4 linked regions of the Rhinolophus ferrumequinum genome follow. The protein of the gene in region 1 purifies or fractionates together with the protein of each later gene. This does not show direct contact. Links are inferred from orthologs where the notes say so. Each region holds a gene or a part of one and is shown in the gene's direction. Other genes may lie near its edges.

Evidence for each region.
Region 2: the proteins of KAT2B (region 1) and YEATS2 purify together in Homo sapiens (affinity purification with mass spectrometry; 3 studies listed by BioGRID, with this or other methods). This does not show direct contact. The link is inferred for Rhinolophus ferrumequinum from reciprocal best matches to the Homo sapiens genes KAT2B and YEATS2.
Region 3: the proteins of KAT2B (region 1) and TAF9 purify together in Homo sapiens (affinity purification with mass spectrometry; 3 studies listed by BioGRID and IntAct, with this or other methods). This does not show direct contact. The link is inferred for Rhinolophus ferrumequinum from reciprocal best matches to the Homo sapiens genes KAT2B and TAF9.
Region 4: the proteins of KAT2B (region 1) and TADA2A purify together in Homo sapiens (affinity purification with mass spectrometry; 6 studies listed by BioGRID and IntAct, with this or other methods). This does not show direct contact. The link is inferred for Rhinolophus ferrumequinum from reciprocal best matches to the Homo sapiens genes KAT2B and TADA2A.

Annotation. Positions count from the first base shown.
Region 1 is NC_046300.1:27,741,140-27,749,217, reverse strand, and holds the start of KAT2B (histone acetyltransferase KAT2B), read left to right. Parts: upstream 1-4,944; 5' UTR 4,945-5,367; coding exon 5,368-5,667; intron 5,668-8,078. UniProt on the Homo sapiens protein: Functions as a histone acetyltransferase (HAT) to promote transcriptional activation. Has significant histone acetyltransferase activity with core histones (H3 and H4), and also with nucleosome core particles.
Region 2 is NC_046285.1:61,258,184-61,266,159, reverse strand, and holds the start of YEATS2 (YEATS domain-containing protein 2), read left to right. Parts: upstream 1-4,941; 5' UTR 4,942-5,144; intron 5,145-5,320; exon of another isoform or gene 5,321-5,388; intron 5,389-5,523; exon of another isoform or gene 5,524-5,720; intron 5,721-7,976. UniProt on the Homo sapiens protein: Chromatin reader component of the ATAC complex, a complex with histone acetyltransferase activity on histones H3 and H4. YEATS2 specifically recognizes and binds histone H3 crotonylated at 'Lys-27' (H3K27cr).
Region 3 is NC_046290.1:44,820,451-44,828,558, reverse strand, and holds the start of TAF9 (transcription initiation factor TFIID subunit 9), read left to right. Parts: upstream 1-5,099; 5' UTR 5,100-5,126; coding exon of another isoform or gene 5,127-5,154; intron 5,155-7,020; coding exon of another isoform or gene 7,021-7,113; intron 7,114-7,914; 5' UTR 7,915-7,931; coding exon 7,932-8,108. Other genes in the region: cell cycle checkpoint protein RAD17, read right to left, coding at 1,097-1,180, 1,756-2,013, 3,292-3,395, 4,317-4,359, 4,669-4,692; AK6 (adenylate kinase isoenzyme 6), read left to right, coding at 5,127-5,154, 7,021-7,113. UniProt on the Homo sapiens protein: The TFIID basal transcription factor complex plays a major role in the initiation of RNA polymerase II (Pol II)-dependent transcription.
Region 4 is NC_046304.1:23,902,512-23,910,476, reverse strand, and holds the start of TADA2A (transcriptional adapter 2-alpha), read left to right. Parts: upstream 1-4,858; 5' UTR 4,859-4,925; intron 4,926-5,166; exon of another isoform or gene 5,167-5,294; intron 5,295-7,134; 5' UTR 7,135-7,230; coding exon 7,231-7,255; intron 7,256-7,965. Other genes in the region: ACACA (acetyl-CoA carboxylase 1), read right to left, coding at 4,258-4,523, 4,703-4,708. UniProt on the Homo sapiens protein: Component of the ATAC complex, a complex with histone acetyltransferase activity on histones H3 and H4. Required for the function of some acidic activation domains, which activate transcription from a distant site. Binds double-stranded DNA.

The DNA of each region.
Region 1 (8,078 bases):
GCAAGAAATGGTGAACATGGGAATTGTTCAAATATATTGGCAGAAGTGTTCAGTATGTTAATTCACTATTTATTGCATGTTATGGACTGAATTGTGTCCCCTACCCCAAATTCATACGTTGAATTCCTAAACCTTAGTACCTCAGATGTGATTATACTTGGAGATAGGGTCTTTAAAGAAGTAATTAAGGTTAAATGAGGTCATATATAATTGGTGTCCTTATATGAAGATGAGATTAGGACACAGGGATACACAGAGGGAAGACCGCGTGAAGACATTGGAGGAAAATGGCCAACCCCACCAAGACCTTGATCTTGGACTTCTAACATTCCAACTGTGAGGAAATAAATTTCTGCTATTTTAGCCATCCAGTTTCTGGTACTTTGTTATGGCATCCCCAGCAAACTAACATATTACAGTCACATAGGAAGTTGGTTTGTGTCATAAACAAAATGTAGAGTGAAACAACAATAACAAGCAAGATGGGAGTGTTTGGTGGGTAGTTATAACAGGCTAATATCCTCTTGGTTTCCAGCCATGTAAGAGAAAGAAGTGTTCTTTTCCAGAACACTATACCTTGGCAAAGCTGAGTAGTTGCAATAGAGACTATGACCCACAAAGCCTAATCTACAATCTAGCCCTTTACAGTAAAGGCTCACCCAACCCTTCTCTACAGGGTTTATTTTGTAAATGTTAAAAAACACGAGGAAGGAGGATACAAGGATACTTGGGAAATGAGATAAAGAGAGATACGAAGGAGGATTTCTTAACCTAATAATATATATATGAGATAAAGGGAGATATGAAGGATTTCTTAAACTAATTAATTACTAGTACATATAGCATATCTGGCTAATGAAAACGAGAAAATTTGGTTAGTGAATATAGACATTATCTCACTCACTGAACTTTTCTATGTGTTTGAAATATAACAATATACAGATTTTTGTGTTTTGGGAAAATATCATGTTACTATACACAAATATGTTTGTGCTTTCAGAAGATATCATGTTACTATAGTATAGTTCCCACGACGGCTCATTCCTCTCGCCTTGTCTAACAACTGTACCGTACTACTTTCCATTTTTCTTTTTTGAGTTCTTTACCCAAAGTGGTTGCTGATGTATAACACTTGTTTCATAAGTTGAAAACCCTGCTCTGAGCTTTGATTTTAGACCTAGAGAGTCAGCTGCTGTGCTCAGCCAACCAGGACCTAAGATTAAGGGAATAGAGGTAGTTGGTTTGCCCATCTAAGGGAACCCTAAACTTAGAAAACCTGTCCTGATAAAATTTTTTTTCTAAATTTGTGAAATTATGTGTATGACCATTTTCACAGAGTTAGGGAATTAGAATCCCTCTTAGGTTTTTTTAAAAAAACAATTATCTGGCACTAACAAAAATAAAATTCATGCTATTCAGATTGCTACAGAAAATGTAGGTCATATCAAAGTTTGGTTCTTTGGAAATTTTATTTTCTTCCATAATTTTCAAGATGCTTGAAGACATAGATACTCAGATATTGCTTTAGAAAAGCTGTCAGCCATTTAGCCTGAGTTCGGAAGAAAGGAGACTTCATTTCTTCTACTTACTTTCTACCTTCATTGTAAATGGTAGGTAGGCTGGTAAAACAAGCACATATGTTAGTATTTAAAACAAAACAATGGGGAAAAACCTTCTCTCTCTACAAGAGCAATGCTCAGCCAACACATTTAGGCCTATTATTTTCCTATTTTCCATATTAAATATGTAAAATTGTTATTAAGAACAACTAAAAATAAAAATGAATAAAGTAACGCTAAAGGTATTTTGGGCCAGCCATGCTGTTTGGGGGAGGGTTTCAGGCAGCAAAGCAAATGCAGAGGCCCTAAGGCTGGAAAGAGCTTCCTGAGTCTGGCTGGAGTATGTACTACCACATGGGGAGAAGGGCCAGGAGAGGTGGATCTTGCCGATCAGGTTATAGAGTTGAGATTGTGCTTTAAGTGTTATGAGAAACCACTGGAAGGTTTCAAGCAGGGAAGTATGGAATACGTTTTGCATTTACAGTTTGAAACCTCTGTACAACTATGAAGAGGGGATTGTGGAAGAGCAAGGGTAAAATCATGGAGACCAGTTAGGAAGTCGCTGTCAATAGTCAGGGCGAGAGATGATGGCCACGGAGACAGGTATGAAAAGATTGAAGATAGAGTTTACAGGTAGAAATGATGACTAGTGTTTATTGAAAACTTTCTTTGAGTGAGGAACAGGGGAATACAAAGTGAGAAAATAAGTTTTATTCTCAAGGGTGCCCAGTGGAAGGGAACTACTTTTAAGAATTTGCTGTGTGTCTTTCTAAATCTTTCTCTTGCTTTTGCATTTTTATATGCATTATTGAACACATACAGGATTGTGCTTATATGCCAATGAGTTTGTTTTTATTTATTTATTTATTTTTCCTCGCGGGGGGCAGTTTGTTTTTAACATAAATGATATTACACTGTACAGGGGTTCATTCAACAGTATTTCTTGGAGATCTATCTATGCTGTTATATTTATATAAAGGTCATTCTTTGTAATAATCTCATAATAGTATTAATACGCCAAAAGTAACCTCCAGTGGTCAACCTGACCCGTATAATTCCTACTCCCCACGCCCTTTATTTTGTAATTGTGGCTTCTCTTTACGTCAGTAAGTTGTAAATACTTTGTAAACTAAAACATTGACTTTTATTTTCTGGGTACCCATTTCCTAAAAGGGCTCTGTACACAGGAGCTAAATACTCACAACAGCCTGGTTAGGAAGTCTCCGGAATCCTTTGCCCTTGAAATGTCCCTGCCTGGTGCTCATAACACACTTTGAATAGGCCTTCAAACTCTAGGCCTTCAGCCTAAGGCAGTATGTCATTTGGGTGCCCTGAGCAAGAAAATAATGAAAAACAATGTTCAGTAGATGTCACAAGCCATTCACCATTCAGACAGTGATGGTTTTCAGGGTGTATTGAAATGAGGTTGTTTTCTTCTTCAAACATTCTGCAAATAGCCTGCAATTTGAATTCTGGGAGTGGCTTTGGGAGAAGGAGGTGATGGGTGAGTTAATAGTAAAGCTGGGTTCCTCCCAGCCCCCAACATTTTATTATGGAAAATTTCAAACATACTGAAAATTTGGAAGAATTGTGCAGTGTGAACACTTCTATACCCTCTATCTAGATACACTCTTAACATTTGACACTTCTTTATCATATATATGCTCATCTGCTTATTTTCCCATTCACAGATACATCGATCCATCTGATTTTTTTGTGCATTACAAAGCACATTGCAGATATCAGGGCACTGCACACCTAAACTTTCAGCATGAGAAACTTTAAGTAGAGGTCAATATGTATGATGTTAAAAACATATTTGAGGGAAATTTATATCCAGTGAAATGCACAAATATCAAGTGGACCAGTCCATCAGTTTGACAAATGCCTACATGTGGAACCCAAACCCCTATCAATATCTGCTAACATCATGATGTTAGATTTTGACCAGAGGATCACAGCCTTTAATACTCCCATGCTGCTTTGGCAAGAATGGCAAAAAAAAAAAAACACCTGTGAAACACCTCAGCAGAGTAAGGCGAGAGTAACAGTGGTAAAGTGAAGCACCCAAGCAACTCTTCCAATGGGAACGACCTGAGGAGAGTTTGCCATTTCAGACCTTCAGATTGGACTCAAGGTGGGAGAGGATATTTCCTTTTGCCTCGTCTAATGCCACTGGTTAGATGTACAAACTTTGAACACTTTTCCATTTTTACATATCACTCTGCATTAAAAATCAAAAGAATGTAGAGAATCTATAAAAAAGAAAATTAACTGGCAAAAACAGGAATGGGAAGGGAAATATTTCCAGGGAAAAGCACATTCCTTAATATTTCTGGCTGGATTTGGGTGAGAATAATACAGCATGCAAAGAATTTGATAATATGCACATTATGACCCATATTACATAAAAGTTATCATTCACATTATGAAAGCAGGGCACTTGTGAAGGGTCCTGAAAAGCAGCCCTGGGCTTTAAAAAACTGTTTTAGAAAGACTGACCAAGGATGCACAACGTTCAAATGAAAAAATGCAATGTTCATTCCACATTACTAAACACAACCCTCATCGTCATGGACAAGGAAAACGATAGTTTTCAACAGTTTAAACGCTGCGTTGATTTTTTAACTTTGAGGCCAAAATCAGTACTCATATTTGGTGTGCTTAATTTTTTTTCATGGTTAATATGCCTGCTGGTGGTATCAATTTTGAAAACTATGGTACATTATAGAAAAGAATATAGCAAGATTATCACCACACTATACCGAGATGAGCCCTATTAACAAACTTGTATTCAAACTTTCCCCAGTACGCAGTTTTCATTTTGACAGTGCTTTTAGACAACCGTGTGTGTGTGTGTGTGTGTTTTAACAACCAGCACTTTCAAACAAAAATTACAAAAATATTAAGTCTTTTTCTTCTTCTGGCCGATTGGACCCAGAATTTACTGCAGGAAGAAAGCGTTCTTAATTAAAAAGAAAAAAGTTGGACAGAAAAGTATTTAAAAAGAGAAACAGAAAACATTACGCCTCTATTTTGGTGAATTAGCAACAAAGAAAAGGATTAACATAGACGGGTACTTTAAAAAAATATTTATTTTCCTCTGGCTCCCGCTAGGGTGGAGGAAGTTCTCTGTTCCGAGAGAGGGTGGAACAGAGTGGAAGAACAAATGACTGGGAGTCCCCCCCGCACCCTCGGCTTGCAAGTGCGGGGGTCAGCAGCGGGGGCTGTGGGGATAGAGGCGGCCAGCAGGTGCCTGGGCTCCAGCCCCCTACCTCCCCGCCCCCATCCATCACCCCCTCCCGAGCTTGGCCTCGCCCCCTGGCGGGTGAGCGCTAGGAGTAGAGGCGCGGGGGTGGGGGGTGCAAAACCCCGCGGGCAGCGGGAAAGAGGCCGAGGGGGGGTGGCTTCCCGGCTCTGGCATCGCCGAGAGGTTGGCACCGCCTGCACGCACCCTCAGTCCGCAGCCCCGAGGAACATGTCCGCGGCCAGGGCTCACAGAGCCCCGGGGAGGAGAACCGGGGGAGGGCGTGTGCAGTGGCGGCGGCGGCCGCGGAGCCGCTAGTCCCCTCCCTCCTGGGGGAGCAGCTGCCGCCGCCGCCACCATCAGCGCGCGGGCCGCGGCCGGAGCTAGCCGGGCGAGCGGCGCGCGCGGGGGCGGGCGGGGGCGGGGAGGGGGGTGGGCAAAGGGGGCGGGAGGGCGTGGGGGGAGGGTCTCGCTCTCCCTGAGACCAGAGCCCGAGAGGGAGACCCTGGCGGCGGCGGCGGCGCCTGACACTCGGCGCCTCCTGCGGTGCTGCGGGGCGGCATGTCCGAGGCTGGCGGGGCCGGGCCGGGTGGCGGTGGGGCAGGAGCCGGGGCTGGGCTCGGGGCGCTGCCCCCACAGCCCCCCGCGCCGCCCCCCGTGCCGCCGCAGGGCTCCCCGTTCGCCGCCGCCGCCGCCGGGGGCTCGGGCGCCTGCGGACCGGCGACGGCAGTGGCGGCGGCGGGCACGGCCGAAGGACCAGGAGGCGGCGGCTCGGCCCGAATCGCCGTGAAGAAGGCGCAACTGCGCTCCGCTCCGCGGGCCAAGAAACTGGAGAAACTCGGAGTGTACTCCGCCTGCAAGGTATTCGCTCGCCGCTCCCGGACCGCCGAAGGGGACTCGGGCCCAGCTCACGGGACCCCCGCCCCCTCCCCCTCCCGCCCGCGCCTCCCGCCTCCCGCCTCCCGCCTGGGGCCGCTGCACCGCGGAAGTGCTGTTGTCGCCCGCGCCCAATTAGCTGCTTCTCGGACAGGAGCGCTTTTGGGTTGGAAGAAGGGGGATCACCAAGACCGAGAGCTTTTCTTTCCTCCCATTTGGAAGGAGTAGCCTCTGTGTCCGCGCTGCTGTGCTGCCCTGGGGCTTTGTTGCTCTGTAGGAGCTCGCCAGGGGTGCCTTCCCGGGAGTGGAGCAGTGCTCACTGTGTAACGAGCGCCCCAGGGCCAAGGAAACATCTTTTGGGGGAATCTGAGCACCCCCTCTTCGCGCATCGTCTCCCTGTGCCCCATTGGGAGGAGCTGGAAGAAGGAGTGAGGGTGGAATGGGCTGCGGGACTCCCGGAGCGTTGGGAGATCGAAGGGGTGGAACGCACCGGGTGAGAAGGTGGGCACATCTCACTGCGAGGGTCCTGTAGCTTTGGGCTCCTTCCACTGAGGGTGGAGGCACTGCGGCGTGCGGCGACAGCCCCGTCATTATTGTGTTATTACTTGTTTAGTTAAAACGCTGTCCCAGCTGCTCGGGGTGTAAACAGGCTTTGGCAAGGTGACAGCCCAGCGCGGCAGGCGCTGCTGCTCAGTTTGAGGACACACATTTCTTGCCATCCCCTCTCCATCCTAGCTTTCGGCACCCCGTAGCCCCTCAGCTGCAGATCCAGATGTGGACGCCGTGCTCCCGCAGTGGCAGGATTGCCCGAGGCCGCAGGGCAGCCTGGCCCAGCGCTGTCAGCAGCGGCTTTGTTTTGACAGGGTGACAGCTGAAGGGGGCGGGGACTTGGCCTTGTCAGCTCCTGCGGCCTGTGGCTGAGGCAGGGAAGAGACACCCTCACACACTCACACACCTCTTATGTATTCCTCCCGCCTGCTGCAAACAGGGTCATGTTTCCAGATTCCCACAACCGAGCTGCAGTGGCCAGTTTTGAATTTTGGTGTAAAGATTATTAATCCTTCCAGAACCTCTCTCCCCCCTGGTGATGTTGTTTTTAGTAGTTACAGGAGCTTCTCAGCTGCATTGGAGTGTCTGTGCTTACTGTTTTCCCACACCATTCACATCCTCTTGTATATGTTGAACGCCTGTTGAGTACCTGACACTCGTTCAATAAATACTTGTTGAGTGGATGTAGGATCTAGCCCAGTGTTTCTCGAACTTTAATGTGCATGGGAATCACCTGGGGAGCTGGTTGAAAATGATGATTCTAAATTAGTGGAATTGGGGTGGGGCTGAGAATCTGCATTTCTAACACATTCTTAGGTGGCTTGATGCTAGTTCACTGACTTCACTCCAGATAGCAAGTCCCAAGTTCAGAACGGGACAGTATATTATACGACTCTTTTGAATTCTGAAACTGTGAAACAATAATGCCATGTGGTTGGTATTTCTGAAGACGGAATGCAAAAAAGATAAAATGTGGAGTGTGCTTAAGAAAGGTGACGGCCAGGAGCTGGTTATTGAAGGCTTTAGAGTAATCAGGAACAAGGTCAGTTACTTAGTGGACTCGGTGTTTTGCAGCCAGAGTGGGCTCATATAGGCACTGTGTCCACTTAGTGTTTCTGCCCTGCCTTTTTATAGGTTTTTCCATCATGAGCACCTTCTCTTCCTGTTGCCCGCTATTGCTTTAATATCCAAAAACTTTCCTGAAGTTTTGGTCCTTTCTAAAACTAGGAGCCTTGCATTGATATTTTGGATCCTTTCAAATTTCCAAGAGTGAGATGTAGCACCTTTTGTAAGGTTTGTGACTTGCGTGTTTCATGTTCACATTCACAATCAAACTTATAGGAAGCGAGAATCTCTTAATAAAGACCCTTCTTCCTGCTCCGGGGAGACTCTGAAAGTGTCACTTTGTATTTGCTCATTTATTCAGTAAATATTTAGAGAGGTCCCAACTGGGTGCCCGGCATTGTGCTGGATGCTGGGGCTATGACACCCAGAATTTATCCTTCTGGAGTTACAGAGTGTGTGTGTGTGTGTGTGTTTGTGTGTGTGTGTATGTATGTGTATGTGTGCGCGAGCATGTGCCGTGCACACACATGTGTTGGGGGCCTGGGGAGGTGTGGGCAGGGAACCAATTACAATGAAATTAAAAAGAACTGCTTTCTTAAAGTGTTGCTGGAACTCAGAGCTGGCAGTTCCTGGTCTGGAGCACCATTGGGGTAGGAATGGCTTCCTGGAGGAAGTGTCAGTGGGTGCCAAGGAATCTTGGCAGAGCAGAGTGGGGTGAGGTGAAGCTTCCTGTAGTGGAGAAACTGAAAGCAGTTATGAAAACTTGGAGCTGTGCCAACAGG
Region 2 (7,976 bases), on another chromosome or scaffold:
CTTTTATAACAGAGAGCTGTAGTGTGGAAGTCTAATTTACAAACAACAAGCAATAAATGAAAATATCCCAGTATTGTGTTAACTGGGCACCTAAAAGCTGATAATGTATATAAGGATATGTAACCAAATTAAAATCAAAATTCTTCAGTCTTTAAAAATTTGAGTTGGAAGTTTAAGTGGAACTATTTTTATACATTCTCCTCTTCACATTGCCCAAATTCCACCAGCACCATATTATAGCTGAAATTTTATATTTACTTTACCTTACCTTTACAAGTAATTTTCAGACATTTTTAGCATCTGTCCAGAAGCCTCTCTTTTTATTTTTAACAACTTTATTGAGGGACGTGCTTCTGCTATGAACATTCTTATATAAATTTTGTGTGGACATATGCTTTCATTTCTCTGAGGTATTTGCCTAGGAGCGTAACTGCTAGGTCATGTGGTACCTCTGTGTTTAACATTTTGAGGAACTGCCAAGCTGTTTGCCACAGCGGCTACATGCTTTTACATTCCCATCAGCAATGTACGAGAGGTCCAAGTTCTCCGTATCTAGAGGCCTCGTTTTTATACAAAACAAAGAGAGAGTCCAACCAGTTCCAGCCATAGAATGTTTCCTTTCAGGGCAAATTCCACCTACCCCTCCTTTTTTTTCCATGAATGAAAACACGTCTTGCATCATCACCCTCATTCCCAAAGACTGTAATTCTACAGTGACTGTGCAATCCACACAGAGAAGCACAATACATGGCTTCTTTTGGGTTAGGGTAGGATCCAATAGGATCTGCAAGAGTGGAATTTGGTTTTGCCAAAATCCGAATAGGACAAACAGACATTTGGCTTCTTGTTTGGACCTAGTTGGAGACAACGATTTATTTCTAACTGCCTAAGTGTAATTCCCAGACACTAATTACATTAATGGTTTGCTTGGAGCTGTAAATAAGTGAGGTCCTCATTTTACATGTATAATTAGTATCTGCACCCTGGTAGGGGAACCTCATTACATTAAGGGCTCCAGAGTTCCCACTCCTGTTAATCTTAGGAAGGGTGGTTGGTCTTCCCAGGGGGATGTCCGGGATACCTGGGGCCTGGGAACGCTTGGTCAGTTTAACTACAGTTTTCCATCTGAGCCAGCTTCCCCTCCCCCTCTCAGGCAGAGCTTCGGGTTCCCCACCTTTCTCAGGCTTTCCTTGTTTCTCTGCTGCAAGAAGCTGTTTGCCAGCAGTTGCCAGCATAGGTTCTCCCCCACCACCACCCCCCAAACTACTGGCTCCTTTTCCTGGGCCAGTGTCAACACTACTGGAAACTTCCTGACTAACTTTAATATGAGTTGCTTTTCCTTTCATTAACACTGTACATTTAACACCCACCCCACCCCCACCGCACCCCATCCCCCACTCTGCTCCACTCCCCAACCCACCCCCACACCCCACCTCTAGTGACTGTACAGGTGAACAATGCCTGAGGAGGCCTGGCCAAGGAGGGGCCTGCAATCCAACGTCCTGCCACTCGCCGAGCTGTGTGCCCCAGCACAGGTCTTTGTCTGCTTGAAGGATGGGGAGGCTTTTCCTCATGTGCCACTTGACTTAGCAGGGCCAGTCTCCTTTCCTTTCCTCCCTGGTCTCCTCCCCGTTCATTACCAAGTCTCTCAGCATTTTCTCCGCAACTATTGAATGTATCCATTTCCCTTCATTTCCACTGTCCCGTGTAAACCACCTTCATTATTCACCTTTGCCACTCAAATTGCTTTGCAACTGTCTGGCTGCTACTTTGTTCACACACCTTCCCAGTCATTCCCCACCCATTTGCCAGGGTAAGTGATCTTTTTCTAAAGGGCAAGTTGAATACATTAACTCTCTGGCTTGAAACCCTTGAAGGCCTCCTGTCGTTCTTACCATAAAGATCAAACTCTTCCCTCCTGCGTGATCTTGCTCCTGCCTAAGTCAGCCCCATCCCCAGCCCCTCTGCTCTTGCTTAAGTTTCCGTGGACTTCTCACCTGGTCTCAGGCTTTATGGTGACTCAACAGCTCCTACTGCCTTCAGGTTTCGTTTCGTATTTTTTTCAGGGAGTCCTTTTCTACCTTCACACGAAATTTGGTCCCTCTGTGCTGTGCTTTCTGAGCACCGTCCGTTTCCTTCACAGAGCTTATCTGTTGTTGAAATGTACAACACTGCATGCATATGTGTAAAAATCGGTAGCTATGTTATTTCTCATGGGCTCTAATCACTACAACTTTGGGGATTGGGCTAAACTTAAACTTGCCAAGGAAAGTTATCTGGTCTTGAGCGCCGCCAGCACTTTTGTCTACGCGGCAACCAAGAGGCCCTACACCATTGTCTACTTCCCTGTTTAAGGGCGCTGCAAGGCCAGGCGCATGCTGCTGTCTGAGCAGGGTCAGAGCTGGAAGAAGGACCTGGTGACTGAGGAGAACTGTCCGTGGAGCCCTCTCAAGGCCTCCTGTCTGTATGGGCAGCTCCCCAAGTTCACCCTGTACCAATCCAATGCCATCCTGAGCCACCTGAGCGTCTCCCTCGGATTCTATGGGAAGGACCAGCGGGAGGTGGCCCTGATGGACATGGTGAATGACAGCATGGAGGACCTCCGCTCCAAGTACGTCACCCTCATCTATACCAACTATGAAGCGGGCAACAAGGACTATGTGAAGGAACTGTCCCCGCGCCTGAAGTCTTTTGAGACCCTGTTGTCCTCGAACCAGGGGGACCAGGCCTTCATCATGGGCAACCAGGTCTCCTTTGCAGACTACAACCTGCTCGACTTGCTGCTGAATCACCAGGTCCTGGCCCCCGTTGCTTGGATTCTTTCCCCTCGCTCTCCACCTACATGGCACCCTCCGTACCCCGCTCAAGCTCAAGGCCTTCCTGGCTTCCTTCGAACATGGGAACCTCCCCATCAATGGCAAGGAAGACAGGGAGGGCTTGTGACACCCTCAGCAGGAGGCAGGGGCTGCCTGCTTCCCTGTCCCCAGAACGGATAAAATTTCCAAGAGAGAAAAAACAGTTAATTGATCTTAAACAGTCTCATTTAGGGTAACTATTTCGTCAATGCACAGTTGCAGTCCTGTCAGAACTTTCACCTCTCCCCTCTTGACTTCCCAAGATGGCCTGTGGGATCCAAGGGAAGCTCCAAGGCAGTGGCAGGAGGGGTACAGAACTGTGAGCTGTAGCCTGGGTCCTCACTGGCCTCCCTGGTCACGCCTGGTCACTATGGCCCTGCTGGCATCAGCTGCTGAGGTTGCTGGCTGGCAAGCTCATCATCTGTTGCTACGGCACTTTGAGAATCTAATGTCTCACCTTCCCCGCTCCCACACCTCCATCCCTTCTCCTCTCCCCAGCTGACTTGGGAGCACTTCAGCTCGTTCTATCCTTGGGGTCTTAGCTCCATTCTCCAGCCATTCCCTGCCAATGAGTCCTCCCTCCACTGCCTCTGGTCATCACCTGGTACCTGGCACAGCGCCCATTGGCCTGTCCATGGCTCTGTCTATTTGTCTGGCAGGGAGCATGCAGAGAAGGCTGGTTTTCTGGCACACCAGGTGCAAATTGTGGACACCATGCCGCATTTTTTGACTCCTCTCTCTTCCCAGTGCTGCTCTCTGTTCCCAAGTCCTGCTCAATGGGAACCTTCTGCCAGAAATGGGCAGCCTTTCAAGCTAGGCCAAAGGAAGTGGGCTTCTAACACTCCCTCCTCCCCCTCTTCCCCCCCCCCCACTTAGCTGGATACTTCTATGCCCCTGCCTCAGGGTTAGACCCCAAAGTAGAGGAACACTGACACACTCCTGCTGACCTCTTACCCTACGTCTTTCTCCAGTAAAAGTATTGTTATCTCCCAATTCCTATTTTCTCTTTGGGTCTTAGCCTAAGGCTCAAGGAGGCCTTTCCTAGACTTTCACATTAGATTGACTAAAATGAACTGTTTTGTTCATTTCTGATTTTCAGTGCCTGACGCAGTCTTGACACAGTGCCAAAACACAGAATAGAAATGCAGCAAAAATTTGCTGAACAAATATTATCAATCTCATTTACCCTTAAGGTCAGGAGTAGACGTTAAGGTCAGAAGGCTGGGGTGACATATTATATTCTATTCCCTTATATTGCAGGGTTTTGGAGTCAGTTCCTGGCCGTACTATTCATTCATTCAACAAATACTTTTTGAGCTCATGCTATGTGCAATGCACTGGGCTTGCTATTGGAGATAAAGGAGTAAATCCCTTAAAATATTTTTAGTAAACATTATATACATCGAAAAACTTAATAACATATATGTAAAGTATAAAACAATTACAAAGTGTACCCCCTCTAAACCTACCACCCAGCTCCAAAGGTAAAATCTTTACACAGGAGAACAGATTGAAGGGGGACAGAATCAGATCCCTGGAGACCAGCTGGGAGACCAGAGTAGTCTTGGGAAGAGAGATGAAGGGGTCTGGGGCAGGGTGGTACAGGAGAGGGAAAGGAAAGTGTGGACTTAAGATATTTAAGAGGAAACCTGGACTTGATGGATTGTCACTGACTAGTTGTGTGACATAGGTAAGTTCCAACCTTTCTGAGCCTCAGTTTCTGCATCTGTAAAGTAGGTTGGCAATACCTATAGTTATCTGTGTCTCTACTACTTAGGCACAAAGCTTGGTACGAGATGACACAAAAATCATAGCTACTGCTGTTATTACTGTACTGTAAAAGCTTCACAAATGCCGGCAGAATATTCTGTCAAACTTGGGATTGGGCTGCGTCATTTCCTTCTAGGGAGGAAAAGGATAAATGACAGTGACTCTGCCAGAACCGATCCCCAGACACCCCACGAGGAGCGGCAGCGCCGGCCAGGGTCAGAACGTGGGCCAGGGCCAGCCCCCCTCTCCGCCCCTCCCGCCCGCTCCCGCCCACATTTCTGCGAGCTCCGCCCCCGGGTCGCGCGCCCGCGCGCCGCCGCCACCGCTGCGCGCACCCCGTCCCGCCCCTAGTGGTGACGTGCAGGGCCGAGCGGGCTGCACTGAGCTGTGTGCTTCCGCGGGCTCCGGGGTCGCTGGAGCTTCGTGGTGGGGCTGCTCTGCAGGGCTTCGCCCGCTCCCTCCCCTCCGCGGTGCTCTCCCCCTGCGCGGCCTGCGCTTCAGCCGGAGACCAGGGAAAGGGTGAGTGTTGGCGGGAGCTGGATGGGACCGGCCGGGTGCGCGCTCCGCTCTCCCGGGCTTTGTCTGGGCGGGGGCGGCGCGGGCACGTGCGCGCCCCTCCCCCACCCCTCCGGCCGCGCGGCCCGGGTTGCGGAGCGGAGGGAGGGGCGGATGACTGCGGAGGGGAGAGGATCTGGGGGGGAGGCTGGATCCAGGCTGAGTGTGTATGTCCGGGAAGTGTCCGAAGGGGGAACCCGGAATTTGGGTATGTCTAGGGGGGACTCCTTTTCTAAGGGGCGCAGCGCTTTTTGAGGGATGGGGGTTCCTTGAGCTCCAGTGGCCGGAGGTTTCAGGATGATAAGCTTGGTGGCCTGTGATGGGATTAGTGGTGAGATTTGGCCCCAGGACCAGCAAGTTGTGGATTTACCAACAAGAATCCTGGAATCTCCCTCCAACCTGTCGCCATCCTAGCCGTCCTCCTCCCGCGTGAAGGATGAGTAGGATTTAGAAACGTCGGAGGATATTCCAGGGATGGTGCCCAAGTTAAAGCAGCGGAGGTGTGAGACAGTGCGGGGTTGGAGTGGAAAGCATGGGACAGTGAGTACTTGGAAGAAAGGCTGGTTTGGTGGGTTGTGGCCAGATTGCAGAAGACAATGAGGTTTATATCATAATATTTGTTTTCTGTTACGAATGTACTTACATTCAAAAATAGAAAGTAGAGAAGGAAAATATCACCAGTAATCCTACAGCCTTGGCACATCATGTTTAGAGTCGATATGTTTGCTAGTAGTTTCATCTAAGCTTGTAACAGTTACAGTTAGAGATTACCTACAATTTTCCATTCCCTTTTCTCCTTAGCATGTAAAAATGCGATGTAACAAATAGTGTTCAGCAATATCATTTCCTCTTTCTTAACAACCAAGTAGCAAGTATTCATCATGGGAAAATTTAAAACTACAGACAAGCAAAACGAGAAAAAGTACCCATAGTTTTCCTGTCTACAGATACTATCATTGAGTGTATATTTTTGGCTGTGTATATTCTTTCAAAGATAGGAGCAGATGATGCCCTGGTTAGGAATCTGGTTTCTATGGGAATCCTTTGAAGATTTTGAGTATTAATAGGTAAGGAGCATAATCTGACAGAAGAGGGCAAAAGTGGAAACTGGGAGACCAGTTAGGATGCTGTTTGCAGTATCTTGAACTAGGTCCATGGCAATGGAAAGATTAAAAAACATTTTTGAGGAAGAATGAACAAGACTTGGAATAAATGGATTGGTTAGGGAAAGGAAGAAGTCTTTGCTTTTCAGTATTTGTTTTTGAGCAACTGTGAGTAGACGATGGCATTTACTGAGAAGAATGGAAGAGAGAACTTCAAGGTGGGAAAAATCATTAGTTTTGTTTTGGATGTATTAAATTTGAGGCGCATATTAGTTTTGAAGTTGTTATGTTGACGAGGCAGTTGGATGTACAGGTTTGGAACTCACAGAAGAGAGACTAGAGCTGGAGATAAAAATTTGGGAGTATGTACTCAGTTATATGGATGATATTCCCATTTATGAAACTATATGATATCACACAGGGGAAGAGTATAAATAAGTGAAAATCAAGTCTCAGGCACTCCAATACTTTGAGGTCTGGTAGAGGAAGATTGAGCATAGGACAGAAAGAAAGAGTGAGTTAGGGGGAAAAGCAGGAGACTGGTGTCACGGAAGCCAAGAGAGGTAAGTGTCTGGAAGATGGAGAGTTGGTCCTCTTATCAGTGTTTCTAAGATGTTTAGTAAGATGCTCAGTTGGATTTGAAATCATGGAGGTTGCTGGTTTTGGTCATTGGTAGTACTTAACTATCCAGAGGTCTAAAGTGGAAACCACATTGGAATAATTGAACGGGATTGAGGAAATGAAGACAGTGAGTGTGAATTAGAAAAAAGACCGCCTTCAAGACACCTATTTCATCTGCCCCCAAACTAAATTTGATAGATAAAAAATGGTGTCTTGTTTAATTTTTCCATTCCTTGATTACTAATATGGTTGAAGATTTTTCCACATTTATCGGCCATTTGTGAATTTCTGTTCCTGTCCTTTGCATCTTTTTGTTGGTCATTTTCTAATTTATTGTTAAGAGCTCTTTAGGTTTTAAAAATATGTAGCTTGACATAGTGTTTGCAGAATTTCCTCCCTTATGTCACCTCCCCCTACCCCCGAATAAATGCACTTATTACATGTGCTCCATCAGGAAGGATGTGGTCGATAATGGAAAAAAATGTACTTATCATTTAACTCTTATGTATACTTTTTTTTAGATTGTGGTGAAATACACATAACATGAAATTTACCACCTTAATCATTTTTAAGTGTATTAAATACATTCGTAACATTGTGCAACCATCACCACCATTCATGTCTATAACATTTTTCATCATGTAAAACTAAACTCTGCACCCATTAAACAATAATTCCCTATTCCCTTCTTTCCCCCCAGCCCCTGGCAGCCACTGTTCTATATGAATTTTAGGATAGGTTTTCTATTTTTGCAGAAAATGTCATTGGGATTTTGATAGGGATTGTACTGAATCAGTGGATGGCTATGGGTAGTATTGACATTTTAACAATATTAAATTTTCTAATCCATGAACATGAGTTGTGTTTCCATTTATTTAAGTCTTTAATTTCTTTCAGCAGTGTTTAGTAGTTTTCATTGTACTAATCTTTTACCTCCTTGGTTAAGTTAATCCCTAAGTATTTCATTCTTTCTGATGCTATTATAAATGAAATTATTTCTGTGATTTCCTTTTGATATTGTTCATTTGACTTTGTATTCTGCTACTTTGCTGAATTCACTTATTAGTTCTAA
Region 3 (8,108 bases), on another chromosome or scaffold:
TCAAAAACAGCAGAACCAGACATATTTTCTGATATGATGCAATATAAAATGCACACCATGACTTATGAAGTATTCTTGCAGAAATGTTCAATTTCAGTCTAATCAAGCCCTTCATTCAAACTTCCAAGTTACAGGAAATGCAGGATAGAAGAACAAGTTAGTCATCATGAGGATGGAACAACCTGACAAATCCAGAATCTGAGACTTCTACCAGTCAACTGTCCTGGTCTCTTCAATTAGTCAATGTCTTGGACAGAAAGGGTGAAGGTTGGGACTGTACTAGATTTAAAAAGACCTAAGAGATATAACAATCAAATGCAATGTGTGGTCCTTGATAAGATTCTGTTTGTGACCAACCAGCTCTAAAAGACATTTTGGGGAAAACTGGAGAAATGTGACTATGAACTGAGCATTAGATAACATTAGGAAATTACGGTTAACTTTGTTAGACAGAATGGTACCTATAGTTAATTAGGAAAATGCTTTCTTTTAAAAACAAAATAAAACATAGGCACACTGAAGTTTCTAAGAGTCTGACTGAAATGTCACATGTTTATAATTTACTTTAAAATACTTAAGGGGGAAAATGATAGATATACTATGGGTGTGAGTATGTATTAATAAATTCTATTTTCCTTTATGTTTGAAGCAACTCAAAATAAAGTTTAAAAAGAGAGAGTATTCTAGCTTGGGGGCCAAGAGTAATTGTGGAATTAGGAAATGAAACAAAACACATCAGTGTAAAATGAATGACTGCTTTAGGCTATATTTAGTACAAAAACTGATTCGTAATTTGCCAGCTTGCTTCAGTGTGAGATAATCTGATGTGCTAAATACACTAGTACCCTAACTGATTCACTGTGCTTTATGTTGATGACAGGACATAAGAAGGAAAAAGACATATAAGTAAAGGAGAAAACTCAAAGTCTCAGAATCTTTTAGTGAGGCCAGAAATACTAGTAAGATCAGAGAGTTTTCCACGAAATAGAGTTTTCTGAACTTATTTCTCACATAAAAGTTTAACTTCTTAAAACTAACTATAAGTCAGAAAAACATTTGATGCTAAATATTTAAAACACATTTTTTATTGAATTACCTGTTTTGGTTGCCTTTCTAAGACTTCAGCTTTTAACCAGGTTTCAACTTCTTCAATTTTCTTTTTATGCACAGCAAGTTCATGCTAAAAATATCAAGTTTAAAATAAAACATTTTAACTGAAGGATTTTTGGTACATCACAGATTAATCTAAACATTTTTAATGAAAACACTAAAAAACAAACAAGAAAACACTAAAAAATAAGTAATATGATATAGTAATAGAAAAGGTTGATTACATTTAATTTTTTCTATTGTTATGAAAAAAATGTTTGTAAGCTGACACTATTGTACGAAAACTACTGGGCAGGTTTGGAATTATACGATTTTTTAAAAATCCTGAAATATATTTTGGGAAGGAAATAAATAGGTATTACATTTAGCAAAACACACACACACACACACACACACAACAAAAAAAACCCAGATTAGATCAATTCTATGTTGGGTTAAGTTTAATCTAAGATAAATACAAATAATCAATTGTACAACTTCAGAATAATTGCTGAGAAAATCTGAGCCTTGGGACATAAAAAAAGACACTGGTTTTTTTCTAATTCATTTAGATAAAAAGAATTCTATGAGTAATAATCTGAAAGTGTACATCCCTCTCCTTTATGAAACTAAATTACATAGACATGTTTACATGCTATTTATTACCTGACTTTCTGGTTTGTACTTATCCACCCACGGTTCATTTTCAGACAGATATTCTTTTGAATTTTCTAGACCATAAATGTCTTCTGAGGAAGATAGTTTTCCTCTTTTTCTAGTTGGAAATCTGCTACTTTCTAATGGGGACGACAAATTGTTTCTTCTATGACTTGAGTTTTTCACACCCAATGATGTGGCAGTAATAGTAGAAATGCTTGTATTCTCTGAAAAATCATCAAATGATGGGTCTACCCAGTCTGTTACCTGAAAAAAAGAAATCATGTAAATACTATTGCATTTTTTGCATCTGTTCCCTATGTAATTAAACTGTGTACAAAAAATGTTTGTATATTTGCAACATTTAAAACAAACATCTCGCAAATTAGCTCTTTAAATAGAATTGATGTTATATGTAATACTTATATTTCTACTTTACAGTAAATACAAATGCATACTTGTCTACTTGACCTTGGTAATGATGAATACCATATAAAGGAATATAAGATATAAACTTAATTCTTTTTATCAATGTAATCTTCCCACGATAAAGAATAGGCTGATTCTTTTAAACTTGTTTGTAGAACTGAAACATAAATATTTAAATTACCTACCAAAAAAGAAGCAAAACAAAGAAACATTATTTTACCCATGTACAACGAGAAAAGTAACACTTTTGCCTTCACCAGGTAATACATTACATTTCAATACATCCAAATAATCCCTAACAGCTTCAAGACTTTGTGAGGATATAGTCTAAGACTCCTGATGTTATGAATAATTTGTTAATATGACTTAATTATATTCACTCCTCTTTTAAGGACACAGGGTTAGAATATTATCAGCAGTGGGTAAAGAAATGAAAACTTCTGGGAAAAAATTTGGTCATAGTTACCCAATTCGTCTCCTTCTCTTTAAAAGACTGTCACTATTACTATAATTTTGGCCCTTTTCCTCAATTTTTAAGAGTATATAAAAATATTATGTGTGAATAACAATTCTGATCTACATGTTACTTATATGTTTTATAGTTTTATTTCTTACATAAATGTGGACTGCCATTTACTGAAAAAAGAGAGAAATGGCAAAGTTAAATAATTTACTTAAGATCAGAGAAAAATCAGACAAACCATTAGGAAAATAGCTACTTTGCATATGAGGATGATACTGTCCAACTCTACCTTCATCCTACTCTACCCCCTAACCTTGCTGAGAACTGGCACACTGAACCACATGATTTCTAAGAGGCAGAGCCTCTGTTAAGCTTTAACACCAAATACAATTCATATAGTCCTTTCTTCTACTGCTCTTTCAAGAGTTTTCAGCATTTTCTTTTTGATTGGGATTGCAAATGACTTTTCAAAATTAAGGTTGTACTTTTAGTGCAGAGCTGTTTCATAACTTATTAGACTTTTTAGATCACTAATTAGAACAGATACTGGCACCATTACTTTGATAGCAGTAATAAATCATTAAAAACATGTACAAAAATTTTACTTTTTTTTTTTAAGGCAATTATTACAGGACAATTTTAGTGTATCATACCTTTGTGGAAGATAGCTTTTGTCTAAGAAAAGGTTTTGACATTATAAACTTTAATAGTTCCCATCCGTAGTATATAACCTGTAGTACATTAAAGTATAATTCACCTGGGGGGAAAAATTCTCAATTAAGAAAAACTGTAAAACAGAAGGACAGTAATTAACATATGGGATATAATCAACAGCATAAGAAGGTTAAGGCTCAAGATGAGTGAAAAAGAACTAAGTGAAAGAGAACTGAGTAAACATAGGTGAAACAAGAGTCAAATGCTAAAATAAATTTTAATTTTAATGGCTATAATTGTCAGTCTATTCATGGTATTATAAATGTAAATTATTTGATACGAACTCAATAACTAGAGAAAACGGAAAAACCACATATTTGTGTACCTACCTTTTGTCATTAAGGAAAACTAGACATTCTATTTGTGTAGTTTTTATAGGAAAATTTAAAATTTCCCTTATTTCAAATTACAGTTGATTACAAATTTGTAATTTTGTAATTTGGCAAATTACAGTTGCCAAAATTTCAACAAAAACACTCCACCATACAATGAATTCAGACTTTATCACTCACTTTGGACAAAGATTTTAAATCTTACTGTAAGTTTTTCCTATAACTGTTTTCCTTATTTGAACATATTAGGAAATTTTTTGGCAACACTATATTTTCCGACTTTCATAATTCTTCAGTGTTTATACAAAACTAGTAAACTCGCCAATTTTAAGTTAGCCAGAGGAAAGTTTTTTTAAGGTCTATAAACTTATAAATTGGGAGGTCTATGGGACTTTTTTTTTAATAGCGTGGAGGCACACATAATGTGTAAATACTTCCACGTACTAGAAAACAAATCGTACACATACAGATACAAATCGTTCACGATTAGAGTTTTTTTGCTTTGGCGTTTCAAGAGATACATAGATGTTAAAAACATTGAGTACATCTAGCTGGCAGGTCGAAGTAAAAGGCACAGACTGTCGCTACGGCCAGGAGTCCAGTCGTTCTTTCAAAACAAGACTGACAATTACCTCCTTTAAAAAGCAGGTAACCGTCCTTGACGATGCCAGGGTCCTGAAACGAGACGTCAGAGGTAGAAGAAACCTTCGAGAATATTTCTAGCAGACCCACCACCACCCTACACACTGAACAGGGGTTAATAAGCTCAGACAGTTGTGCAACGTAATGCTGCTCATCAGTGGAGAGCCGAGATCCGCTCGCTTGCGCCGGCTCCAGGCCAGAGGTCTGCACCCCCACCCTCTCATCGCCAAAGGGGATGGGCAAGTAGGAAGGAGGAGCGACGAGACCCCGGGAAGGCGTGCAGGCAGAGATGGACTCGCATCACTAGGACATATACTGCAGCCGCAGCCGCGGCGGCCTTACTTGCGGGGAGCTGCATGACCTCATGCGCGGAGAGGAGCGAAGGAACCCAGGTTCTGCTCCAGTAGAAGGGAAGCCACCAGGTCTTACCCGGGCTCAGCCCCTAGCCTCTCCGAGGTCCCGCCTCACGGGACCTTCCAGACCCATCGGCCCTTCCGCGACAGAGCCCGAAGGGCGGAGGCAGCCAAAGGAACAAGCGACTTAGGCATCCAGCGCACTGCCTGACCTGAATTGCGGACCCGAACTGTGTCCCTGTCTCGGACCCTGAGATGGAATTGTGTCATAGAAGGTCAGATAACCAATGGTTGGTGACTAGAAGGCGGAGATGGGTCGCGAGCGCCGTGCAGGATCTTGAGGACCCCGGGGCCACTGGCGCTTGCCGCGGCCCGCTCCTTCCGGCTCCAGCCTGTTATACTTAGGTCTCGTGTGCCGATATTCCCAGAGCCGTCGCGGGGAGGACCATGTTGCTTCCGAACATCTTGCTCACCGGTCAGGGCGCGCGGCGGGGACGGGCTGGACGGCGGGGCAGGCCAGGGACGCTGAGTGCACTGGGGCCTCGGGCGCCCGAAGTGTGTGTTTGTCACACACACAGCGGGGGCGCTCACATATTCGAGGCCAGTCGAGGGCCTCGAGGCGTGGCAGTTGCCAGGGCCTCGAGATGGGGCCCTCGCGATCGTAGCAGGAGGCGGCGGGGGGGAGGCGGCGGGGGGGAGGGGAACGTTCGTTCTGTTGGCCCGAGGTTGCTCGGTGAGGTGGAGAGAGGTAGACCAATCTAGTTCCCCTTTCTGGCATGCTGCCTGCTCTTCCTGAATCTGGTTTTTGTTTCTAAAATGGATGTTGATTCTTTATTTGGCAGGGTTTTCTTTGGCTTTTTGCGATATCTTGTAAGGCAGTATTTGGCCCTTAGTAGATCTGTTACTGGTGGATGCCTTAGTCGTTAGGCCTTACCTGGCCGTGTTTCATTTTTCCTTTGTATCTGAGAGTCAGATTTCAGTAAAAGGGCTCAGGTGTTTGTGGTATAGGGTGATTAATTTGCTATATATGTTTGTTGAGTTAATGCCAGAGGCTTTTTTCTTTTCTTCCAAGAACAAAAGGCATCTACTGAGCATCTCGTCGTTTCTTGTGTAGAGATGCTGAAAAATTCCCGTGGGGGCCCTTCTGGGTCTCCCGGCCTGTTATACGTGAGGAGTACTGAAATGCCGCATAACGACTTTAAAGAATGTTACTGTTTGTCGTTTAACTCTGAAAATGTTTATTAAATTGTAGCAGTTAATAGCATCATAGGGCATTCATTGAAGAAAATCTAATGGTTATAGGTGCTATTACAACACAGAAAAATTGAGACACTCTGGAAACAAAGCAATAAAGTTTTCATCATTTAACAAAACATAAGCTTGTTGGTAGTGCACAATTTCTGTTTCTGAGAGTTGCAGATTAACCTCTCAACAAATTAATGTTCAGCCTTTAAGATTCCTTAAAAGGAAGATTTTACGGCATCTGAATTGTTTGGGTCAGACAGTGTCCTGGATTTTGATATTAAGGCATATTGTCAAAAATCAAGGTGAGCATTTTATTGAAAACCTGGTAAGTCCAGGGTTCAAACTTGGTGTATTATAGTGGACTTAAGGTAAATGTTATTGTCTTGTATATGGAGACTTGATTTATCCCTGTTATCTTGGATTGTAACGATCAAGTTTTATTATTTCGGTGACATTAAACCCAAACAGCCTAAAATTATGCATTGATGCATCTTGAAATACAATAGATAATAAAAAGGGAAAGTGAAGAACAATGTGTAGCGTTGCCATTTATGTAAAAGGGAATGTATGTGTGTGTATGTGCACATAATATGTATACATATATGTACACATGCTGTTGTGTATACATATACATGAATGTGTACACAAACACATACATAGGACTTCGTTGGAAAGATATATAAGGAACTGGTTTACAGTGGTTGCCTCTAGGGAAGAGTACAGGGGATCACAGGTGGAAATGAGATTTGTCTTTCATACTTCTTAGATTTTTTTCCCGTGAATAATTTCTTAATTTTTAAAAAATTAAAGCGAACAAGGATATTAATTTATGTGGGATGGCTAATTTTACTCTGGGAATGTCCATAGTGTTGGCAAGCAGTCTGAATTGGCATCAGAATCACCCAAGCCACACTCCTGATAGAATCAGATACACTGGGTGAGACTTGGACATCCATCATGCTTGGGGTGGTTATTGTGTGTGTTAATTCACATGGGATTGCTAATTAGGAAACTTCATTTCAGTCATTAACCTTAAGCGGGGCACATAGCTTACTAAAGCCTAGTAAGTATTTCATGAACAGTATTTTTCTTACAGGTACACCAGGGGTTGGAAAAACCACGCTGGGCAAAGAACTTGCATCAAGATCAGGACTGAAATACATTAATGTGGGTGATTTAGCTCGAGAAGGTAAGGGACATTTTGATGTTAAATTTGTTTTTAAAAAGAGAGAGTGTGAGAGACAGATAATGGAGTATTAGTACTATCCTTGAGAGGGTACAACATGCAGAGAAAGATTGCCATTAAGGAGTTATGCTCTACTGGGGATCCATAGAAATCATAAGCATTAAGTGTCTAAAGCTATGTCCTGGCTATTTTGACCATTACATTGCTCCCCAGTTGACTAGCAGTTCTTGTGGACAGTAATAATTGAGGTTTTCATGAAGAGATTGGATTTAGGATAGGTAGAATCTGAATATGAAGAAGAGGGACAATGTTTGGAGATGGGTCAACACAAAGGTTTGGGTGGTGCTGAGGATGTCTTTGGAGACAGTGTTATATTGATCTTACTGGAAGGACAGATTATTTTGAAATCAGACAGTAGAACATGACTGTCCTGTGGTATTTTCTTACATTAATTTGATAGTTGCATGTCTGCATGCAACTGCACATATTCTAAAATATGTTTTTACTTATTTTACCATTTCCCCCTCATCTTTTATCACTCCCTTATTGTGTCTTTATCTTTGTTTATCTTATAATTGTATCTTTATTCTATAATGATTTCTACAGGGTAGAAACTCAATAAATTTAAGGGAACTTCTTAAAGTGTGCCTCATTAAAATTAAAAAGATTTAACATATTTTTAAAATTTAAATATGTTTTGAAAAATTTAACGTATTTAAAATTTTTTAAGTTCCTGACAGTTGCTACTATAGTAACTATTTCAGGTTTGACCTAATGTACGTATTTTTTTCAAATGATCTGAAGTCTGATCACCGGATATCATGGAGTCTGGCAAGATGGCTTCTCCCAAGAGCATGCCGAAAGATGCACAGATGATGGCACAAATCCTGAAGGATATGGGGATTACAGAATATGAGCCAAGAGTTATAAATCAGATGTTGGAGTTTGCCTTCCGATATGTGACCACAATTCTAGATGATGCAAAAATTTATTCAAGC
Region 4 (7,965 bases), on another chromosome or scaffold:
TTTCTTAAGTTACATTTGGACACATGTGGTTTTAATTCTGGCTGTGCTACATAGTAAATGAATGTCTTTTGGGCAAGTGATTTTACCTCTCTGAGCCTTGTTTTTCCTCATCTGTAAAGTGGGATACTGCAGGGCCCTTCACCAGAATTTCTTTCCCCTCTTGTTCACCTTTGAGATCTTTGGGGCCCTCCTACTTATGCAGAAGCACCCCAGACAGGTCACTGTGTGGAGAAATGGCTACATGTAGGTCTTGCATTTCTTTTTTTCTTTTTTTAAATGTTTGTAAGTTTATTTGAGCCAAAATGATGACATATTCTTGGGAGCAAGATATCACATACTCCCTAGATCTTACATTTCTTTAAGCAGATTAGGAGAGGTGCATCAGCCCTTCCTCTGCAGACTGATCATAGTTGGAGTGGATTAAGTAGCAGTCTAGGAACCTTCTGGAAGGAAAAGGATTGATTCCCTAACTCCTTCCACTAGGGTGGCAATAAAGGGAGAAAGATAGGGAAGGGTGGAGTGAGAGGGGCAGGAAGGAGGAAGGCAATGCTCTTGATGCCAGAGATAGCAACAGAGAATAAGGAGGCTGGAACCAGTCCTGAGTCGGGCCTCAAGAACTGTAATCCTTGAGGCTCAGGCCTTTTGTGGAGTGAAGCCCTCTCTATTGAGTGCGTCACAGGAAGACTCTTAGCCTTGAAGAGCCCCTATAACTGGCAAAGGGCTCTGCTCTGGGACCTAAATTCCTGGTTAATTTACATTGACTGGTATGTCTCAGAGTTTAAAGGGGAGGAAGTTGAAACCTAAAAGGCATAGCTAGACTTTTAGATTTTCTATTTTATCTATTTGTATACCAAAATACAGAGAGCCACTTCAGTTACAAGAAAAAATAAACATTAGATGAGATAAAGTTCATAAAGTCTTTGAGAACTCTGGACGTAACAAGTAACTAGAAATGGTAGAGAATCATTTCCATAGGGAGGGAGGCTCAGAAACTGCACTTCTGATTTTAACAACCGCAGCTCAGTATTTGAAAAGGAGTTGTTGGGATAGTTTGGACTCAGTCAATGGCAGCCACAATACAAAGTCTGACAGTATGATACAATTTTCCTCGTTGGGTTTCGAATTCAAAAGTCAGCCTTCTGAGTTAGTTATGAATGGAAGGGCTTGGAGAATGTGCTATTATTAATCTGTTCTGAAGGTCAGCCTTCAAAAAATATTAACCCAACCTGGATTGATCCTGGTAATGTAAATTTCTGTCTTAAGGAGGATGAAAGGTGTTTTCTCAGGTTCCTTTACAGACATGTTTAGTGAGGGAAGCAACGAGGTACTTAGTCATCCCTGCTAGGACAGGTTCAATACAGGTTGTACTGGAAGTATGCAAAGGGGGTACTTAACCCAGACTTGGGGGCCAGGAGAGATGCTCCTGAGGAAGTAATGTCTAAGTTGAAGTGGAGATACCCTGGCAAAGGAAGCTTGGAAGGAACAGGGTGCATAACGGAAAATCAAGGTACGTCCGTCGGGCTGGAGAATGACGTGTGAGATGGGGCAGTGATGACAAACAGAAAGACACTAGACCTTGAAGGGCCTTCTACAAAGAGTGATCACATAATTTATTGTACAAACTGAGACGCTTTTGAGAGTGAAATGAGACAATGTAACTAATTATATTGGGACAATAGGAGTAAATCAGAACTGTCCTGAGCCAGTTGGGACTTATGGTCACCCTACTTGTAAGTCATGTTCAGGTGCTTGGACCGCCAGTGAAAGCATAGATTGGATATAGCTTCTCTTTTTACCTTATACATTTTGCCTGAGTGACTTCATCCATACCTTTGCCTTTACTTGCTTATTTCACAAATATCCGTCCAGGATGCACTTCTGGGCACTGAGGTTATAAAGAAGAAAAGACACAGTGTCTGTCCTCAAGCTCTGTCTAAAGAAGACACACATCCAAAGAAACAATTCTAATAACAATTATACAGTTTTAGCCCCTGCCTCTCCTCTGAGCTCTGACCTCATTATGTCATTTCCACTCAGGTTGCAAAACACAGATACAAAACAGAACTTCTAATTTCTCTTCCAAATCTATTCTTCCTTCAGCTGGTCTTATTGATGTCACTATCCACTACACTGCTGAAGGCAAAAATTCAGAAAATCACTACCTTAATCAGTGCTATCCTTCTTCTCACTGTGCATTTTAATTTCTCCACATCTTTCTTAAGTACAATGACTAAATTCTTTTTTTTACTTATATTTATTTATTTTTAATTAAAGTTTATTGGGGTGACAATTGTTAGTAAAGTTACATAGGTTTCAAGTGTACAATTCTGTAATACATCATCTATATCTCATATTATGTGTTCACCCAGAGTCAGTTCTCCTTCCATCACCATATATTTGACCCCGTTTACCCTTTTCTAGAACCATCGCCCCTCTCCCCTTACCCCCTGGTAACCCTAAACCATTGTCTATGTCTATGAGGTTTTGTTTCTTCATTTGTTTGTCTTGTTCTTTTGTTGTTTTCAGTTACCACATGTCAGTGAAAACGTATGGTTCTCTAGTTTTTCTGTCTTATTTCATTTAGCATTATAATCTCAAGATCCATCCATGTTGTCGCAAATGGTATTATTTCACCTTTTCTTACGGCTGAACAATGACTAAATTCTAATCAGGGCCTAACATAAATTGAAGAGAAAGGGTAATTTTCAGGTGCTTGAATGTAATGTTTTTAATGAATAGATCCTAGTATCATAAGGGACTGTTTTTTCCACAATAGTACAACATTAATGACTCATACTCCGTTTGTTGACAATCATGACGTTCAGATCTGGATGTATGCCCTCGCCAGTCTCAAAAAATTTCAGTTTAGGTGAGAAAGACATGAAGATAAGTCTTGAGTGTTTGACCCTATCTCCTCTTTATGGAGAATGTGCGAGTAGTTATACAAGTGTTAAGGTGTAGGTGAAACACGGATGTTAATAAACGATCTTTTCAACAATTGCTGTGTAAAGGGATAATTTATGCTTTAAAGGCCAATTTTAATGTTTTTACCACCTATTCTCCACACAGCTTCCAGAATGATCCTTTTAAAACAAATCTGATTATTCCTTAGCTCTCAAACCTTCCACGGCACTCTATATCTCAATAAAACCCAAAGTCCAACCATGGTTTACCAGATGATACATGATCTGACTTCTGCCTCTATTTCCCAACTTGTTTCTGTAATTTGCTGTGCTCCAACCACACTGGTCTCCGTGCTTCTTCTCCAAAATGCCAAGCAAGTCCCTATCTTAGGGCCACTGCGATTGCCATTTCTTGTCTCCTAGAATAGTTTCCCTCTAGAAACCCACATAGCTGCCTCCCTCATTTCATGATTATATTTCTGCTTATGTGCTCTTCCATTAAGAGGCCTTCCTTGTCTATCACATCTAAAAGAGCATCCCACATCACTCTTATCCCTTTATCCTGCCTTTTACCCCATAAATATTGCCACATTACTGGGCATTATCTATTATTTAGCAATATATTACGTGTATTACTTATTGTCAACCTCCCATTATAAGAGGCAGACTTTGTTTTGTTCACTGCTGAATTGCCAGAACGTAGAACAGTGTCTGCTCATTAAATATTTGTTGAATGAATAGATTTTTAGGCTACATTAAATGTAAAACTACTCTGTATTTATTGATATGATGCATAGAAAAATGTCTGTAAGAGTGCACAGCAAAATGTTAACTGTTTATTGAACATGGTGGGAGGGGGCTCCTTTTCACATTTTTGCTAGTGAATTTTCTTTTTTTTTTTTTAACAAAATGAACTTGTTTTACTCATACACTAAAAAATATAAAGAGGCCATATAGACAGAAAGTGTAAATGAATTCTAAAATTCTAAAAGAGGCTGGACAATTTTATGAAAGACAGACTTTTTCCTTTATCTTTTTTGTTTCTCTTTTTTTTTTCCTTTAAGACAGACTTCTAAATAGAGTAACAGCAGAATAATTAAAATACACCACAGTTTGAATCCCCTTCCCCAACACTTTCCAGCAGTGTGATCCCAAGTTATTTATTGATAAGCCAGAGTCTAAATGTCTTCACCTGGAAAATGGGCATAGTGCCTACCTCAAAAGGTTATTTTTGAAGATTTAATGAGACCATGTATGTAACCTCCTTTGTACAATGACTGGCATGCAATAAACACTTGGCATATAGTAGCTATTATAATAATTAGTAGTAGTAGTAAGAGATGTTGGGACATACCTAGCCCTCAAGATTGACATCAGAGTGGACCACCACATCCTCCCATCATTGTGCGCCTCAATCTGGGCCTCTGAAGCCCAAAGAGGGGATGGTTCTTTCCAAAGAAGACAATTTCGACGTTCCAGAAGCATCTGAATAAAACGTAACCTGTTCACCCTTAAACCATTCGGTCTGGTAAATCCACGAACAGCACTCCAAGACCGGCTTCCACAGGCGGCCACAGCTCGCCGTCCTTGGGCCCAGTCCCTTAGCCTCAATTTCCTCTGCTGCAACAGGAGTGAGAGTGTTAAAAACACAAAAGCAGGACAGTACCGGCCCGCCCCACCTCACGGCACTCCGGCGGGGATCGAGCGGCACCACGCCCCGGCAAGCCTCTGGCGACCAGAAACGCACCTCACGGGAGAAGTGATTACTGGTCAGACTGAAAGTCAGGCAAAGGGCTCACCCGCATCCTCTCAGGCCTCTGACAGAGGACAGTGACAGGCGCGCGGCACGAGACAGGGCCACGAAGGCCAGGGAAGGGAAGGGGCGGAGGCGGAGGGCGCGCGGCACGCTGCGGGGCCGCGAGGGGACCGGGCGCGCTCGCGCCGCTCGGGAGCGAGCACGCAAGCCCAGTGGCGCGCACGTGGCTGGCGGCTCCTCGGCGCACAGGAGGGGGACACTGCGAGGTGAGGCACGAGGCGCTGCAGGGCGGGCGGCGGCGGCAGCGGCGGGGTGCGAGCCCCTCTAGCCGGACGAGGGGGAGGCGGGGACCGCGAGGTTCTGTGGGGATCGGGGTCAGGCTGCAACACCCTCGGCTGGGGAGACGCGGCGGGTAGGCGGGCGTGCGGCGCCGGGCCACGTCGCGCTGTGGGGGAGGGCGGCGCGGGGCGGGGCATTACCCCTTGGGTCCCGCCCCGCGGGGAGGGTCGTCTAGCCGTCTGGCCGGCCCTGCGCTGTCTCAGCCTCGGTATTTCCGTTTCTATGGTGGAGCGCGTAACTACGTTAACAGCCGCTGTGTGTCATGTCCTTACAGACGTTTCCCATTGAGTTTTCAGGTAGGCCTTCCAAAGTAGGTATTTCATCTACTTTTTAGAGCTGAGGCTGGCCGAGGCTCAGCTAAAATGACTTGCCCAAGGTCATACAGCTAATACAGAATGAAAGGATTTGAACCTTGTCTGCAAAACCGCACAGCCTGCACCTGTCCTCTGTACCACACTTAATGCTGTTCTTCACGTACCTTCCGTTCTCCCAGTAACAACTTTGAGTTTGACAAATGTTAATTTGGAGCTAGCACCCATCCTTTCTTTGGTGGATGTTAGTGTCAGAAATGTCTCTTGTGAGAAGAAGGGAGAGGAAGAAAGAAGATCCTGCTGATTGCAATATTGTGCTTATGCCATGGAAATGTTTATCAGACTGTTTATACATCCTTTACTTGACCCACTCAACTAACCTCTGTCGAAATGGTGTTGCTGTTCACTGCCTGTAAGGCATTGTACAAGTAACATAATCTTTCAGGGCTTCCTTTCCTTCTTTGAAAAAAAGTAGTACGCCTCAGGTTGTGAGGATTCAAAAAGACAATCCAAATACAGTGGCACCACAATACCTGGCATATGAGAAAAGTTCAGTAACTGTTGGCCACTATTTTATTACCAAGTGCATAATACCCTTTGCTAAACTCATTTTTCTTCAAAGACTAACTTTTTCTGAGACTAGAGCAGAGGGATAACTATTCCCACCCAGCCCACCACCCAAAAAACAGGGTCATGACAGCCATGTTATCTGAGTGTTGATACACTTAATGATGAATTATTCCTCAACCTAAAAATATCCGGTGAAAGAAGTCACTTCAGAAGAACCTTTTAAATTAACCTTTTGAGGAACTAATATTTATCCATTACCAATACATTTGTGTTTACTGAGTTCTTTTTGTGTGTTTGGCATTGTGCTTAGTACTTGAAGGCATACAGATTTGTATTGGACATAGTTCCTGCTTTCATTTACTCTAAAAATGGGGAAAAATAGGTATTCATACGTAATCCTCACAAAGTAGAATGTAAAAAAATGCCATAAAAGAGATAGACAAAAAGCTATGGGAGTATAGAAGGAGGGATGTTTTCTTGGCTTAGTGTGAAATACATACTTGTATTTCTGCCTTAAAGAAGATACTGTGTACATTGTACATACCTATTAAATATTTGTTCAAGGAGTAAATTGGTGAACAAATGCATGTTGTAATGGATAGGATTCCTGGGTTTCTGGTAAAGACACTTATTCATATATTAAAGTGTTATTGGAAAGAGTGAAATGAGAAAAAGAAGAAAACTAAACAGTTTAGCCACTCTTGGGGATTCGGATCTCAACAGCCAGAGCTCATGGACCAAATTCTTTGACTAGTGAATAACTGAACTCCAACTACCTTCCATCCTTGTATGTCTTATTCAAGATTCAGATTTCTCTGAGATCTGGTCATTTAAGCTGTTGTGGGGGTAGAGAACGGAGTATTCCAAGTGGCAACCCCACCAGAACCATATGAAATGTAGAGTCTGTTTCCCTAAGGAAAGGGGGCTAAGGAGAGAAATGAGACCAAGAAGAGAAAATCAGTAGTGTACTAGGGAAATGTCGCCTTTGTAAAGGGCTTACTATTGGCCAGGCACCATGGTACATTATTTGTATGGATATTTAATTTGATATTTAATCCTCACAACAGCTCTGTGAGATAGATACTATTATATCATACCCATTTTACAGAGGGGGAAATAGGCTTATAGAAATAAAATATTTTCTTAGTGTCACAAAGCAAGGATGTGGTAGAGTTGAGTATGTTGCATTATCTTTTCTTTCTCTTACTTACTCGAATTATTTCCTGATCCATGTGCCACTTTGGTTTGTTCATAGGGGGACATCAAGCTTTGGTGTATGTGTTGACCAGTTCTGAAATCTCCTTGAAGGAGCACTGCATTGAGGAAGATCAAAGTCTCTGCCAATTAGGGAATGGACCGTTTGGGTTCCTTTAGCAGTAAGTACTATGTGAACAAGTCTCAGGTGAATATTAATAGCAAACTGTAGTGGAACTTGGTCAAAGAAGAAAAACAAGCATTTTGAAGTTAAAGTCCTGTGAATCTGATCTTAAAGAAATAAGAGTCTCAAATCAAAATAAAATCAACCAATACTTAATATAAGTGGGTTCAATCAATGAGATTGCCCACTGAACACATGACAAACATATCACCTAGGTTTTATAAGAAAACTAAGCTCAGCTAGACCCGGCATAGTATGATTAACCTGCGTTTAGACCCACAAAAGCATTTGGATTTCTCTTTAGCACCAATAACATATTTGTGATGCCTTGATAAGAAATAATGTCTGTGGTAGAATAAAGGAAATGCACCTCTCCCCATTTCAGAGTAAACCACAGGATAATAATAATGCAGAGAAATGTGGCATATGTGTGAGATAAATTCAGGCCGCCACAACTATAGAGAAAAATAGTGCTTTTTCGCTGATTCTGAAGATAAGAGATTTGGCAGAAATAGAAATCCATTGGAAGATGTTAGTATTATCCCAATGAGAAGAATCAAAAAGGGTATTTTTGGGTATTGTTTCCTCTTCAGCAATTTTTTTATAGGGGCTCTAATTTACTCTCTCATCACACTCTATATAAACTTAGTACAAAATAAAGTCTTCAAACACATCTGGTTCAAATTTCTCATTTTGCACATGGAAAAA